2 linked regions of the Drosophila melanogaster genome follow. The protein of the gene in region 2 interacts with the protein of the main gene of each other region in a pairwise test. Each region holds a gene or a part of one and is shown on either strand. Other genes may lie near its edges.

The links. The genes of interacting proteins can lie anywhere in the genome.
Region 1: the proteins of CG3987 (region 2) and CG3078 interact in a two-hybrid assay, tested with the Drosophila melanogaster proteins (one large-scale study listed by BioGRID).

The regions. Positions count from the first base shown.
Region 1 is NC_004354.4:2,253,434-2,262,669, reverse strand, and holds CG3078 (uncharacterized protein), read left to right. Parts: upstream 1-2,806; 5' UTR 2,807-2,949; intron 2,950-3,928; 5' UTR 3,929-4,195; coding exon 4,196-4,342; intron 4,343-4,403; coding exon 4,404-4,790; intron 4,791-5,171; coding exon 5,172-6,510; intron 6,511-6,568; coding exon 6,569-6,930; coding exon of another isoform or gene 6,931-6,996; 3' UTR 6,997-8,267; downstream 8,268-9,236. Other genes in the region: temp (tempura), read left to right, coding at 634-719, 816-1,204, 1,255-1,976; CG3091 (uncharacterized protein), read left to right, coding at 8,583-8,712, 9,060-9,219.
Region 2 is NT_033777.3:15,136,397-15,142,215, forward strand, and holds CG3987 (uncharacterized protein), read left to right. Parts: upstream 1-3,561; 5' UTR 3,562-3,650; coding exon 3,651-3,665; exon of another isoform or gene 3,666-3,725; intron 3,726-3,940; coding exon 3,941-5,140; 3' UTR 5,141-5,319; downstream 5,320-5,819. Other genes in the region: CG6912 (uncharacterized protein), read right to left, coding at 76-135, 314-383, 446-529; CG3984 (uncharacterized protein), read left to right, coding at 766-877, 938-2,269, 2,339-2,508; Glys (glycogen synthase), read right to left, coding at 5,807-5,819.

The DNA of each region.
Region 1 (9,236 bases), on a different chromosome or scaffold from region 2:
AATACTGAAAAAATATATGAATGTAGCAAATGTACTGATAATACTGACTGTAGAAAAAAGGAAAAAAAAATTGAAAAATTCTAATGTCCCAGCTAATGCCTGCTTTCAATAGCCATTTTCCCGACAGTTGGTTCTGACGTCGCGGTTAGTAGGTTATCGTGGCAAGTGCCTCCTCTGTTGTTGTGCACACCAAACACATGTTTGCAAACAAACATATGCTCACCGTCGCCAAAAAAAGGGAACACATTTCCGAGCTTGCGGACCGATCCGCCGGAGAACCGCGCTTTGGGGTGAACCAGATTGACAGCCCCTCGCACTGGGCACTGAAATAATAATAATAATAAAGGCTAGATCTCGTGTCCAGGCCCCGGCTTAATTGAAATTTATTTGTTGTGATGCGGCCGCCTTTGGGGGTTCCATAGTCGCGTAGACAGGGTTCCAGCCTCCGCCATCTTCTCCTCTTCCTCCCCTTTCCAAATCTTAATTAACCGGAGACATTGAGCATGTTCATATTAATTGGAGGCAATCAATGTGCCTGAGACCCTCGAATCGAACGGAACGGAAGCGAGATCCCCGAGGAAGCAAAAACCACATCCCCATTGAAATTCCACGTTCGGACTATACTCAAATTCCATGGAGGAGGAACGCAACGAGAAAAAGGTGCTCTGCGAGAAGATCATCAGGGACATCAATGCGGTGTTCCTCAAGGATCAGGATCTGTGAGTCCAGCATTTAGTTCTACTATAGATCTAATCAGACTGTTAGCAATGAAAGCAAGCCTTGATGTCCGAATATATTGTTCTTTTCTCCACCAGCGCCTCCTTTGAAATTATACCCAAAGAAGCCAACTGCAACAAATCGCCGGTTGTGCATGTGGAGCACAATCTGGGCCTGGAATCGTGGTGTGCCCAGCATGTCTACGACCACGCCCACCGCACCCTCATCTCCCATCGCCGTCAAACCACGGCGCAACAGCTGCGGACGCTGCAGCAGCAGCAGCAGAGCGACTCCCTGGCCAAATACCTAAACGTGGCTCTGCTGATTAATCCCGATGTGACCACCTTTTGGCACATCCGCCGTCAGCTGGTGCAAAAGAATCGGCTGAGCATCAACAAGGAGCTGCAGTTCTCCGCACTCGTGCTCTCAATCAAACCGAAGTCCAATGAAGCATTCGCCTACCGCCGTTGGCTGTACTCATTTCAAAGTAAGTGGACGTCGGCAACTGGGGATCCCATTTCATTCCATTATTTCCAGGTGCCGATGCTATTGACTGGCCCAATGAGATCGGGATATGCGAAAGGGCCGCCGATAGATGCGCCAGCAACTATCACGCCTGGTCGCACCGCCAGTGGATCCTTCAGAACGGCCCATGCCTGCTGCAATCGGAACTGCTACGCACGGAGAAGTTTATGCGGAAGCACATCAGTGACTACAGCTGCTACCACTACCGCCAAGTGCTCCTGAGTCGTGCATATGAGCTCAGTTTTGCCCTTCCCAAGGATTCCGGAGCCAGTGGTTCGTCTACGTTGGCCAGTCTGCAGCATCTAATGACAAGCTATGGCCTGGAATGTGAAGCCAACGCTGAGGATCTGCTGGGTCTCTTGCTACCACATGTGGATCTGAGTTCCGTGAGCAAGCAAAGGCTAATATCATTTCTTTACTGCTGCAACGTTGCCGCCAACGATATGCGTCTGTGTGCCGAGCAGCGCTTGATGTACGGATCGCGGGATTGCTTCGAGCTGCATCGCCGTGCGGCACTCAAGTTCATCGTGGAGCAGTGCGTGCGCCTGCAAATGGGCTTGCCCAATGGCCAACTGTTACCAGTGGCGTCAGGCGATCTGCGTTCGCATTTGGGCAACTTTGACTTTGAAGATAATCCGTTTTTAAGTGCCGTACGGCGCGAGGAGTCCACCCTGGGTGGTAAGCACCGGCGGTGGTGCAATCTTCACCTCAGCTTTGGATATCCAGCGGACTAGACAGCGCGACCTGATAAAGCTCAAATCAATCTACCCCAATAGAATTACTCACTCCCGGCCTTTCCGTTTGCCCATCCGTTCTGAAATGTGGCAAGTGTATAAAGACGTGTGTTTTATTTCCTATCTAATTATCGTCCCAAAAATACAGAAACTTGTGCAAGACAAATTGTTAAAGAGTAAAATACTAGAAAGGAAGACGATTCAAAACGGATTTGGAAACGGAAATGCCTCTATTCTACTCTACTATAAATGTGCGATCCAAAGACAAAGTTCAACTAGCCCGATATGACAACGGATCTCACTGGTCCGCCAATTGCATTTCGATATCTATTAGCGTTACCTGTTCGTTTCTGTTCTTAATCTGATCCGGGCACGATTTGTTAGCCCTTTGTTCAGAAGTAAAACTTAACCGATTATCGCCATGCCATGCACGTGTTTGTTGTTAGCCAATTGCAGTTAGTTTTTAAATAAATCCAAATCATAGACGACGCCTTTTTTATGCAGTTTTGAACGTCGAGCCAGTTCGGCTCGTTCATTTCGAGAATATCGATTCGGTAATGGCCGTAATGAGCACTCAAAATGCATTGTATGGGGGTTTCTTTTGCGCAGAGCAGTTGTAATATGGGATGGTATCGTTTTGTGGCGGTGCAGCCACAGCCATGACATCCCATCCCTTCCCCGAGTGAACTGGGGATTGTGGGGTAACGAGTATCGATTGCGCATGCCTGGGATGCGAGGTGGGATGTGCGAGATGCTGCCGAAGGCCTGAGATGACAACAATTTCAGCAGCGGACTCAGAATCGCCAGGCCGTAATCCCTACCAGCTTTTCAGTGTGTTTCTGGAGCAGTTCGCGTGCGGCGGTGTTTTGTGGAGTGTTGAGTGGCGAAAGTGCTGGCTTCTTTGAAGGCTTACAAACAATTTGTTTCCGACTCGTCGAAAAAAAGTGCATTCCAGTCAACCGAGAAATCAAAAGTAATAAACAAAGTATATTATTCGATTTTTTTTTTTAGTTTGCTGAACGGGGTTCCGTTTGTGGATACATGTGTACAGGCCAAGAGGATTTCAAGGGAGCATTGCATCGAGAGTGTGTGTGCGCTTTTCTGTGCCCGTCTTTGTTTGGTTTTAAAATATTCATATTCGTTTTCCATCCGCCCTCTTTGCATTTTTTATAACTCCCACCCACTTTTCCTGGCCCAAGGGGCGTGGGCCCAAAACTACGCCTCCATCGCAGTTCACTTCATGGGTGTGTGGTGTTCGTGAGGGGTGGGGGTTAGTTTATGATGTTTATGAGTTGATTATGGGCTGCAAAGTACTGTGCCATTGTCTTCGGGACCTGTTCCCTCCGGGCATCCCCAGGATCTTGTCCTGCACCATCCCGTCGTGTCCTGGAAATATACCTCGGAATACCTGACCCTGGGGCACCATCGGCTGCACATGTGTAGATAACACAAAATGGACACACCTGATGATTTTGTGCCAGTGTGGGGGGTGGGGTGTGTGTGCGAAGTTCCTACGGCCAAGGGAGCTATACTCGCGGCTGCACTAATAGCAGCGGCTAATAGGCACATTATTGAGTTGCCAAGTAATCCTACTAGTGGAAACTCAATCTAATTGGTGAGCATTAAGGTGCCACTTCCTTAGGACTTCAATCAGATTAGGATTAGCTAGCCTAGAAGCTTATTATTCCCACCATCCTATTTTTGCGACCGCGAGTGCCAGTGAATGTGCCAGAATGTAGTGAGTAAGTAACGGTAACGGCAACGGAAAGAACATGTGCGCATACGTAGGGCCTATGGCCCACATAAGTATGCAGTGCACGTACGGCCAGGTGTATGTGTGTGTGTGTGCGAGTAACGGTTTCCAGGTGCAGGTGTCAACTCGATAAGCAGCCGATAGATGGCGCTGCCGTTCAGGCCTCGCAACTTTTTCATTTCCTGTTTCCACTTCACAGTCATTCCGCTGCAGGAGAACAATATTTGCGTTTTGACACAGCCTTATACGCGGAATTGGGGGCGTGGCAGGTCGGCGGCGGACAATGAACCCGCCTACGCAGCAAGGACAATAATTGCAGACTGGATTGGAATGGGATGCCCGTGGAGCAGCAGCATGAGTTCGCCGTTTTGGAGCGATGGCAGTACTGGATTCGCAGTGGCCCCACAATCCACATAACTCGCACTACGGGCGCTAGGTTTTGATAAGTTGGCAATAATCGCCGGAAATGGGCAGTCTGCCGAATCTTCACGAGCTGGAGGAGGCGGAGCGCAAGCGGGAGAAGCGACGGGAGTACGAACTTCTGCTGGAGCAGCGGGCTCGGGACACCAGTCGCGAGCGGGAGCGTCTCTCCGCGTTTGCTCAGCAGCGCAAGGTGAGATCGCCTGAGTAGATCCCCCCTCCTTACGACTTATGTATTTTTCTACTCCACTCAGCAATCGTCGTATAATGCTTACATAATGGCTGGTCTGGGGATTGGTGGCGGATCCTTGAGCCTCAATGCCACCTCAGGAACTGCAACAGGCAACGGAGAGCTGCTCGGTGGCAATGGGACAACTGGCGGAAAGGGTCCGAACCAGGCAGTGGGCCCAGCTTCTGGATTGGCCACCAGCTCGGGAGCTCCGGTGGCCACCAGTGGCTTTGCGATGCTGGGACTGGGCAAGAAGTATGCCCCACACTCACACCACCATCAGCATCAGCACCAGCATCAGCACCAGCACCAGCACCATCAGCACCGCCATTCGCTGACCACCAGGCACAGAGTGCTTCGAACCCGCAGTTCAGGAGGAGCCCAGAACGTCTGGGAAGAGCAGATGATGGAGGTGAGTTCTCAGGTGAACACATAAAAAGTCCGCCTCTGTGTGAAAAGCCTTTATATAATTCATGTCACTTGCTTTCCGGCATGGTGACACCTGTCGCATATAAATAGAATCTGGGAGCTTATCTCCCTTTTTTCCTGGACACTCAACTATCATGTGGCGATGTGTGCACAAAAGGGGTGCCCTGTGGTCATTGGTGTGTCGTGAAAGGTGAGTGTTCGGACACGGACTCTCTTTCCAAGTTGAACTACAACTACTTCCCTACTCCGACTACTCCCCCTTTGCTATTGTTAAAGTGAAAGGTAGCTGGCTGTAATACCATTAGCCTGCCAGATGATTGGATTCTTGCTATATCCTAATACCCTTTTCTTGCATCTTTTCCAGCAGCACTTCACCACATACTCGCCGTCACCCATTTCGACGAGGTCGCATCGCATAAATCCGGTGTCCTCGTACCAGGTGCAGGCTGCTCTGGCGGCCTCTCGTCGTCGGGAGTCCATAAACAGCTCCATTGGAGCCACCTCCATACGGCGATTGATAACGCTGAACAACAGGAATTGCCGGCACAAGGTGCCAGCCCATGTGCGCCAAAAAGTGTGGCGCCAGTTTAGCTGTTTAAGCTTGGCCCACGGACTGATGAACTGCGTTCTGCTGCCGGTGATGGCGCTCCAGGGCTCCAATGCGGTGTGGCACCATCGGGAGGAATGGTTGCCCCTCGGTCCGGAGGTTGGATCCCTTCTGCTGAGTGCTCTCTTCCTGGTCGCCGCTGGTATGAGCCTGCCCAGCATTCGACTGATGAAACGATATGGTTATGGGCCACTAATTGTGGCAAACTATATGACAGTGCTCCTATTTCTTCTGTCGCACCTGTACGCCTCCATTTACACCCTTCTACCCGCCTATTTGCTGCTTGGCATGACCTTAAGCGGATCCGCTGGCTCCAAAGCCGCGTTGATTGTCCACTTTGGAGGGAAGTTGAGCTGCTCCTGCGATTCCCAGCAGTCGCAGGCGGCGGTCGATGTCTTGCACGAGGAGCACAAGATGTTTTGCAATCGGGATCAGAAGGTGAGGCGTCTGGCCAGGTGGTTCAGGGTTTCCCAGGACCTGGGTCTCATAGGAGGAGCCCTTCTGGCATCCATTTTGCTGGCCTGCAGCGATGGAAACTTTACGGGCGATTGCTCCGGATTGGTTTACTATGGAAACGAGAGCTGGCCACCACAACTGAGGGATTTCTACAATAGGAACGAGCACGGCGACAGGATCTGTGGGGCAGACATGTGTCCACTCAGAGTGCAGTCAATCCTGGAGGCGGGATGGGCCAATGGGAGCTCCATACCCAGTTCCATCTATGCTGGCTTCATCGAAAGTGAGCCTCGAGTGGCCGGGCAATCCTTGCTCTGGCTGTACGTTCTGTTCTCCATGGTATCATTGACCCTTTCGCTGCTGATAGTGGTGGACAAGGTGCAGGCCATAGGCTCATCGCGACCGGAGCGTTCGAGAGATGTAAGCATCACGGACACCCTGCTGTTTGCCGGACCCCTGGCCTATTTTGTGGGCACGGAACAGGCGTATATGATGGGTGACTTCTTGAGGGCCTTCGTCACCTGTTCGCTGGGCATCGGAATGATTGCCGGCGCGTTGATTGGCATGGGTCTGATGCAGCTCATCGTCTCCTGTACCTTGAGCATGCTGCTAAGGCACGTCAAGAGGATCGTCGTGATTTGTGAGTACCACCAGATGGACACAGGGTACTCGAAGTTACAACGCTCTTCTCTTTGCAGTGGCTGGTTTCTTCTTCCACTCCTGTCTACTGCTGGCGCTGTCCAGTTGGAAGCCCTCGAGTGACGACAGCGCCCTGTTCTACGTGATTGCCGCCTCGTGGGGTGCCTGTAATGGGATGTGGGAGACGCTCCTGCTCTCGCTGGTCACCCTCAACCATTCCAGTCATGTAACGGAGGTCCAGGCGCCTCTTCTTGCCCTTCGCTTCCTGGGACTGGGATTGACCTTTGCCGGTCACGGCTTCCTCTGCGAATCGATGAAGATCATTGCATTGGTGGTGCTCCTCGTCATCAGTGTGCCGCCATATGCCACTCTGGAAATCCGATTGGAGGCGCAACGCAAGGCGACGCTCGTCAGCTTATGACGCAGCATCTTCAGCTAGTCCCGACGAATGCGACGGGATGTCGTGGCCCGGACGCACACCATGTGACATGTTTCGGATACGGATACGGACGGAGAACTGGATCCGGATCCGGGTCGGCGGCCAGATCTGCTCGAATCGCAGCCCGTCAGTATGGAACGACAGACACAAGTCAAGCGACGCAAGCTACACTTCAAGCTCTGTGGACAGAAGTTGGTCGATTCGGAGAGGGATACAGTTTGAAGGATGTTTTAACTGGGGGCAAAGCCGGCTATTGACCTCTGTCCACGAGCCTAGAGGATAAGACTAGTTAATAGGTTTGATCTACACTCATGGGGGGTTCCCTTCTCAGTGGGTGCATTCTCAATTTATAGCATTTGCCAGTGCCAGTAATGTTGTTCCATGTCTATAACCTATCTATCAAATAGAGAAATAGAGAGAAAGGGAGTAAGCAAGAGAGAGAGAGAGAGAGAGAGAGAGAGAGAGAGAGAGAGAGTGAGCGAGCGAGCGAGCGAGCGAGCAAGAGAGGAAGAACATGAGAAGAGGAGAGAAGAGCTTTATGAGCCACAATAAGCATCTAGCATGTAGAACGTTATATATGTACCAGTATATCCGATCTGAGATGATAAATGGATACGATATCAATTGCCGTATCTGTATACATTTATGTATTTCGCCAAAGGCTCCTCCAAAAAAAGGTTTTTGTGTGTATTTCCTAATGTAAACTCCAAGGCATAGGTGTATTTAATTGGAACTCCAGTTTGCAGTTTATAAGCCGAAGAGAGATCTTATCCGATCCGCTCCAGAGTTAAAGCATGTTATGTATGTATGTGTTGTCGGTGTTATGTGCGTTATATAGGTTTCGAGACCCTCCACTTTTGCCTACCCCCATAGATGCATCCCGATTCAGATCCAGAACCAGATCCAGATCCAGAACCAGATTCAGATAAAACTAGCTGCAAACTGTTATGATAACAAGGTGAAATCCTAAGGTCTAAGGTCTAAAAGCAACAATGTTAACATTTTAAAAATTTTGAGAGTAACCATTTTGCGACCCTTGACGATTTCATACATCGGGCTAAGTATTACGAGTATGTTGCTAGCCATATACTACGAGTATATATACATATACATGTACACATAGACATAGGCATAGACATACTATATATTTTTTCTTAGCGCTGGTTCCATCTGAATACTGAACAAAGCTGGTCGCAAACGAATTAAACCGGTGGGACAGGAAGCCAAGTACGATAAGATCGAGTTCTACGTGTATTGGATGTGTGTTGTATATTGTAGGTGTCCATCTCCAGATCCAATAAAGATTTCAAAACAAGTCTATTAGTGAGTGTATTGCTGATTCGGCTTGCTCTCCAATGGAGCAATTAAAACCGCCCTCGTCTTTGCTTAATTGCAAACAACTGGACTCATCTGTGCGGCTGCTAGTGGAGCTTTGCATTGGAGCTTTCACTCGCCGATCCGATCGCGAAAAGCTAAAGATCGCGTCCGAATAGTGGTCACACACTCGTATCATTTCCAGCGGATGTGTGTGTGCGATCGGGCTAGTTAGCTTTATCAATTGGGGGTACTTAGCTAAGTTACTTGCTTAGTTAGTGGCTTTCTGCGGCCCCTGAGAGACGCATTGGGCTACAACAATGGATAAAGATACAGGGGATAAGGACTCCGCCCCCGAGACCAGCGCTTCGCCAGCAACTGGATGGAGCGACAAGCTGACGGATCTGGTCGCCTGGTTCGAGGCCAATCCCAATCTGCCCGAGAAGATCGGTAAGTGAGTCACTGGAATCGATTTCAAATGCGTTTCGCTCCGATTGATAACCAGTCAAGTGGCAGACGGAATTAATGGGCGCGCAATAACCTGTTGTGGTAACAATCCATAAACCTTGTAACAGAGCAGTGCCAAAGGTCAAGTGCATTAGGCACCTCCAGTGATAGCAAGGCACTTCCTCCTTGCTGAAGTTGGACTGACATGCACTTAGCTAGTGCCATATGCACACAGATACATTGGACATTGATTGAGAATTGAGAATTCTATCTTCATATAGTTGCAATGTATCTTTTGTTGTGAGTGCAGTAGCATCTAGCTTATCAAAATTTCCAATTCTTCCCGATAGAACCAATAGTTATGCTACGATTCCTCAAGTGCACGGCTTTTGATGTGGAACGCACCAAGGCCCTGGCGGAGCTAAATTATTGTATGCGCAATAAGAGCCCACATCTGTTCATGGATCGCAACATGGAGGACGAGATGACCGCCGAGGGCCTGAGGGTTTCGTAAGTGCAGCAAAAGA
Region 2 (5,819 bases):
ACAAAATGACAACGAAAAAAAAAAACAACAAAAAATCTCACGAATTAAAGATTTATAAGTTTTTTACTAAGTTACCAGGCCCGCACGTTTTGTTAGTCTGTGGATAACATTTTCCATCCGCTTTCAATTGATATCCTAATGAACGATAAAACCAAAAATAATATAATAATAATACATTGGTTTTTCATATACTTTTTTAAAATTATCAGTTAAAGCATTGAGTAGTTCTATAAATAGTCATACACAGCTGCTGATTAAATTGGGCACCATTTTTGGTACAGCGAGATTAACCATTTTTTCAGAGATTTCTTACCTGTTTGACAAACGAAAGAGCTTTGCCACACGCCGTTGACATCCTGATATCCCTGCGGAGATGTCGGCTTCTAGGGGAATATATTTGTATAAGAATAGACACCAATCCTCAGAGTAAACCACATTCGGTTACCGCGATGTATGCTTGAGCACTTCCGCAAGGCACAAGGGTGATCAGGCAGGCAACCAGGGCCGATCTGAATGACTTCACAAGCATACTGTTTAACTTGCTTGCTGATCCGGGAGCTGAGACACAGATTCGCGATGTACGGCGGTCCGCACTAGGCGAGAGACTAATCGAAGCGACGCTGAGCTCGCTGGGATGCCTTTGGAAAGCATAATTGCTGGCGCTGCGATAACCTTCGTGTTCCAGATAACGGTGAAGGTCGCTTGGGCTGCAGCTTCAGCCGTTCCTAATCCGTCACCGGTGAGCCGGGATCAGTTCGAATCGAAATGTCTGACAGTGAAGTGGGTTTCCGTGTGCAACGGCTGCTGCTGTTAATCTGTCTTGGACTATTTCCCGCGACGGTTATCACCAATTATACACCAAATCCCTGCCAAAATGGTAAGTTCGACTTGGAAGCGTTTATCCGTCAGTCCACTGATGACATCATTCACATCTTAGGTCAGGTTAATGCTTATATCGTTTGCAGCCCCATTATTTTGAATATGTATAGTAACCTGTGCGGAGGTCAAACGGGGATTCAATGCAATCCTTCCAATCCTGTGACTACTGTTGTTCCTGGTACCCCCGGTTGCCCTAACACTCCTCAATATCCTACAGTGGTTCCGAATAATCCATTTAATCCCAATGTAAATGTTGTTCCTGGTACTCCCGGTTGCCCCAACACTCCTCAATATCCTACAGTGGTTCCGAATAATACATTTAATCCCAATGTAAATGTTGTTCCTGCTACTCCCGGTTGCCCCAACACTCCTCAATATCCTACAGTGGTTCCGAATAATACATTTAATCCCAATGTAAATGTTGTTCCTAGTACTCCCGGTTGTCCCAACACTCCTCAATATCCTACAGTGGTTCCGAATAATACATTTAATCCCAATGTAAATGTTGTTCCTGCTACTCCCGGTTGCCCCAACACTCCTCAATATCCTACAGTGGTTCCAGATAAGCCACTTTGTCCCAATACACCAACAACTCCAGCTTGTCCCAATGCCAATGGTCCGAGTTCCTGTAATTCGAACGGCCCATCTTCGTATCCCACGAACGGTCCTAGTATCAATGCTCCTTCCCCAACTTCTCCACCAACTACCACTCCCCCAAGTGTTACTGAGCAACCAGCGCCTGCACCTCCAGCAAATCCAACACCACCACCTCGACCGATCCCAGTCCCAGTCACTACGCCGCCACCGGATCCCATTATCCGGTGTCCGGAGGGAACAATTTTGGTGAAAGGTGTTTGCCGTCTACTTTTCTGCGGGGAAAATAGCTTGTACATCGAAGGACGCTGCATTCAGACCCGCTGTCCTGCTGGATATGTTTGGACGGGTATCCGGTGCTCGAAGCCTCAGCCATTGGAGCTCGGTAACATCCACATAGAGAACACTGTCCACCAGCTCCCAGGAGCTCTGCCCCACCTGATCACCAACAATGTTAACCACGTCATGGTAAACGCCTCCATCACAATCCCAGAACAAGCCTCCGAAGAGGAAGAGGAGCTGGTGGAAGTGGTGGCGCCACCACAGTCACCCTCAAGCCCCTGCTGCAACGTATTCGCTCCGCGGGTCTGCGCCACCCAGGCGGGTCAAGACGGATACAAGTGCTTCAGCAGGAGTCATCATCAGTGCGGTTCCGTCTGCAGTGCCAGGAAGGTGATGCTCGCTCCGGCCGCAGTAGCCAGCTGGACTCAGTCCAACAGCCAGATGGTGACCATCCCTCCCAACTGGGCGGGTCAGGCCTGTCAGTCCAATAATGGGATTTGCCAGCAGCCCCAGAGTGAGTTCAGTAAAGATAGTTGTTACATGCAAAGTAAAGTCCAATTTCATCGTTTTTTGTCCACTTTAGACTTCTACGACTGCAGTGGCTGTGCTATGGGTAACCTTTCGACCTGCTCCTCGTACTGCTACTCCTACAAATGCAGCACCCACAACTGCGTATATTACGACCAGGCCCAATACTGCTCCCAATATGCAGGTCAAACCGGATGCCGTGCGGAAGATGGATGGATGGATTAACACTCGCCAAGCGCAAATTATTGAAAACGTGCTTATCATTATGCAATCAATACCACTCAAAAAACAATAAAAAAAATAAAGCAATTAATAAAGAAAAACAAATTATAATAATCTTTTTTATAATACTTGAGAGCCTTTTTGATAGTTAAAGCCTCTCACAATTCCGTTCAACCTTAAACTTTTTCAGTAATAGTTTTGTCGTCATAGGGGCCATAGTGTTGATGTGATATTTCCGAATATTCAATTCTGAGCTTAAAATTGTGGAAAGCGGATGTGTCTATAATTTAGGTTAATGTCTTAGACAATAATTATTTGTGTAAGTGTACAAATTATAATAGCATTTATCTTATCTCCAAATATCGACTGATGATTATAAATTAAATGATAAGATTAGATTACCCTACGTGCTTCAGCAGAGCTTAGCTCTTTTCTTGAAAGCTCCAATACTCTTACATTAGGGCGGGGATAAGCAATATGTAAGTGCTCTAGTTAACTCCTCCCTTACTGTTTAATAAGAGTGTCCTGATTGACTCAGAGTTAATAGATGGCTCATTGTTTAGAAGTTTATTAGCTGCATTATTGCTGGTACTATGTCGGTTATCGTTCTAGAACCTATGGTTGTACGACTGCGAATTTTGAAAATTTATCTATACAGCTATCTATTCTGGAACAATGTTTTGTAGAGCGATAAAAGCTCTTTTGAGTTTCACAGCTTAAAGAAAATTTTTTTTTTCAGATTACCGTAACAATATTGGAAAAAAGTGGCACCAGTATATCAGAGAATAAGTCATTCATCAGGGTCTGTTTATGTTTTGGGGATGCGTAGCCTTCACTGGCTTGGGAGATTTGGTTCCTGTTGATGGATTTTCCTGTAAGTAAATGAGTTAAAAACAAATATATTGAATATATTACTTGTCTTAATACTTATGCCCACTAGTGTATTTAACCTCTGATTTCCAAATTGAGTGAAAGCTTCGCTAGTAATCAATTCTTTGATAGTGTTATCTAACCTTATCTTCGAAGGTAGGTTCCAGGTGCCGTGATGATGATGGTGCCATAGCCTCCACTCAACCACTGCAGTTCACACTGCACTTTACGCATAGCCGGTCGTCCCAGAAATTTGAAGAGCCAAACAGTTGATAATGGCACATTCAATGGTGAGTTACCGGGATCAGGAAAGTCCTGGAATTCGCAGCGCTTTTAAGCCCCAATAAAACAAAATTTCTGCAAGTATTGTTAATATTTTTCCACCAAAAATCAGCAAAAAAAAAGTTTGTACTTTAATCTAATCATGTGTACAGAAAAATGTCAAAGAAATTGATAATGGTTTTCATCAGCGATGAGTAATTTCTTCGACCTATTAGCTCAATTAAAGAATAGGGGAAAAACACAAATGCAAAAAAATTAATTGAGTTTTTAACTATTTTCGCAGCTGAAACTGGGGATGATGTGTGGAATACTCCACCTGCTGACCTTTGGAGTCATTGCCGAGGATCAGCTGAAAAACAACACAATAGTGGTACATACTCCTCTCCAGAACTACGATCAACCCAATCTCCAGGACTACGAGGAATGCCAGGTGAACAGGGACAATTGCATCAATGTTTGCGCTGGCAAACAGTCGTGCGAGGACGAGTGTCCTGTGTGCCCGGACCTGTACGTCAAGCCCCTGATGGTTCAGGGCATTAACGATACGAATATAGTGGCACCACCCCAGGTACCTATTAATACGACCAACATTATTCGGCTGACCAACGATATCAACAATATAATCGAACATCAAATCCAAAATCGCAATGAGGTCAATGTCCAGGTGAATCAGAATGTCTCGAAGGTGGGAGGACGTTTTGGACTGGGCTACACTGACAAGGGATCGTGCTGTTATGTGGTGCGTTTGGATCGCGAGTGTAAGAATGAAGATGGACGCGACTGCAGAGAAAGAAGCCGTCAGCGGATCTGTGGCGAAAAGTGTCAGGCCAGAGTGATGTTGGCCAAAATAGTGGTGCAGTGTGAAGCCGAGGACTCCGACAGGTGTCACGAAACCATCGAATATGTGCCACGGAGGAGGAGAACCCTCCAGCGGAGGACACCCAAGGCTACACGGTGTCATTACACTGGCAACAGTTGGCCCTACTTCAATTGCGGACAGAATCCAGGCCAAAATAGTGATTTTGCCCAGCCGACGAGGCCTAAGACCTCTATCTGCGAGCACTGCCTCAATTATCCCTACGGATACATTCTGCAAAATGGTCTGCCCGCCCAGTGTGCCGGTTGTTTCCAGGGATACGGAGCTCCCCTCATGTATAATCCTCCTTGGATGTACAATCCATATTATGTGGCATATCCAGCCTTTAACAATATACCGGCCATACAGAACAATAATAATGGCAACAGCGGTGACACCAGTGTAGATAAAACCATTGCAGATGATGATGACGATGGATGGACTCTATGTGACGACATCGAAAAATGCCTAGACGCGGAATACAAAGGCTCGCAGAACAGCGGGTCACCTGAACATCTGGTCGACGACGACGACTACAACGTTTCAGTTCAGCGAAGGAGACGCCGTCCAAGCCGTCACCACTTTGTGAGATCAGCCTACAGCAAACGCAATCGCAAGCACAACTGATCAATTCCAGATGAAACCACAAACTCTTTAGATTTTCTGCAAACCTTTTGCTTCAGAAAGAAATAGTCTAGAAATATTGTATTTCTGATTAACCAAAACTAAGGTGTCTTCATATAACTACTACATTTCTCTACATATTTTACTGAATAAAAGTGTTTTTGCTAACCAAATGAATAAATACAAATGCTATCGAATTCAAAGTGTCGACGGAAAGTTATACATAAATGTATGTATAAATTGCTGCCTGAAAGCTTTGAATATAATTTCATTTCCTTTACAATGTACATAGGTCCGATAAATGAGTGTACTTTAAATAACGATTTATTTGATACGCAGGGTATGAAGCTGGGTGACAGGGCGGGGAGACCTCGTTCTCCTTATGGACTAAACAACGTTTAATAAAATCTGGACTCGTCCTGCTCGAATGCTTACGCTTGCGATCTGGGCATACATAATATTAATAATTTGATTAGATGTGAAAACATTTGTTCTGGCATTTCAATTGCAGGTAGATAGTTTCGAAGGCATCCGGGCAAGAGTTTAGCCCGTATCTCGATGAACATTGGTGGAACAAGACAACTGGAACTTATGGTAATATTGCGCGTGTGTTGATTTTAATTGGTTTGTTCGCTACAAATATAAGGGCCTTCCATTTGGCAGAGAACTCTACTTAATCCCC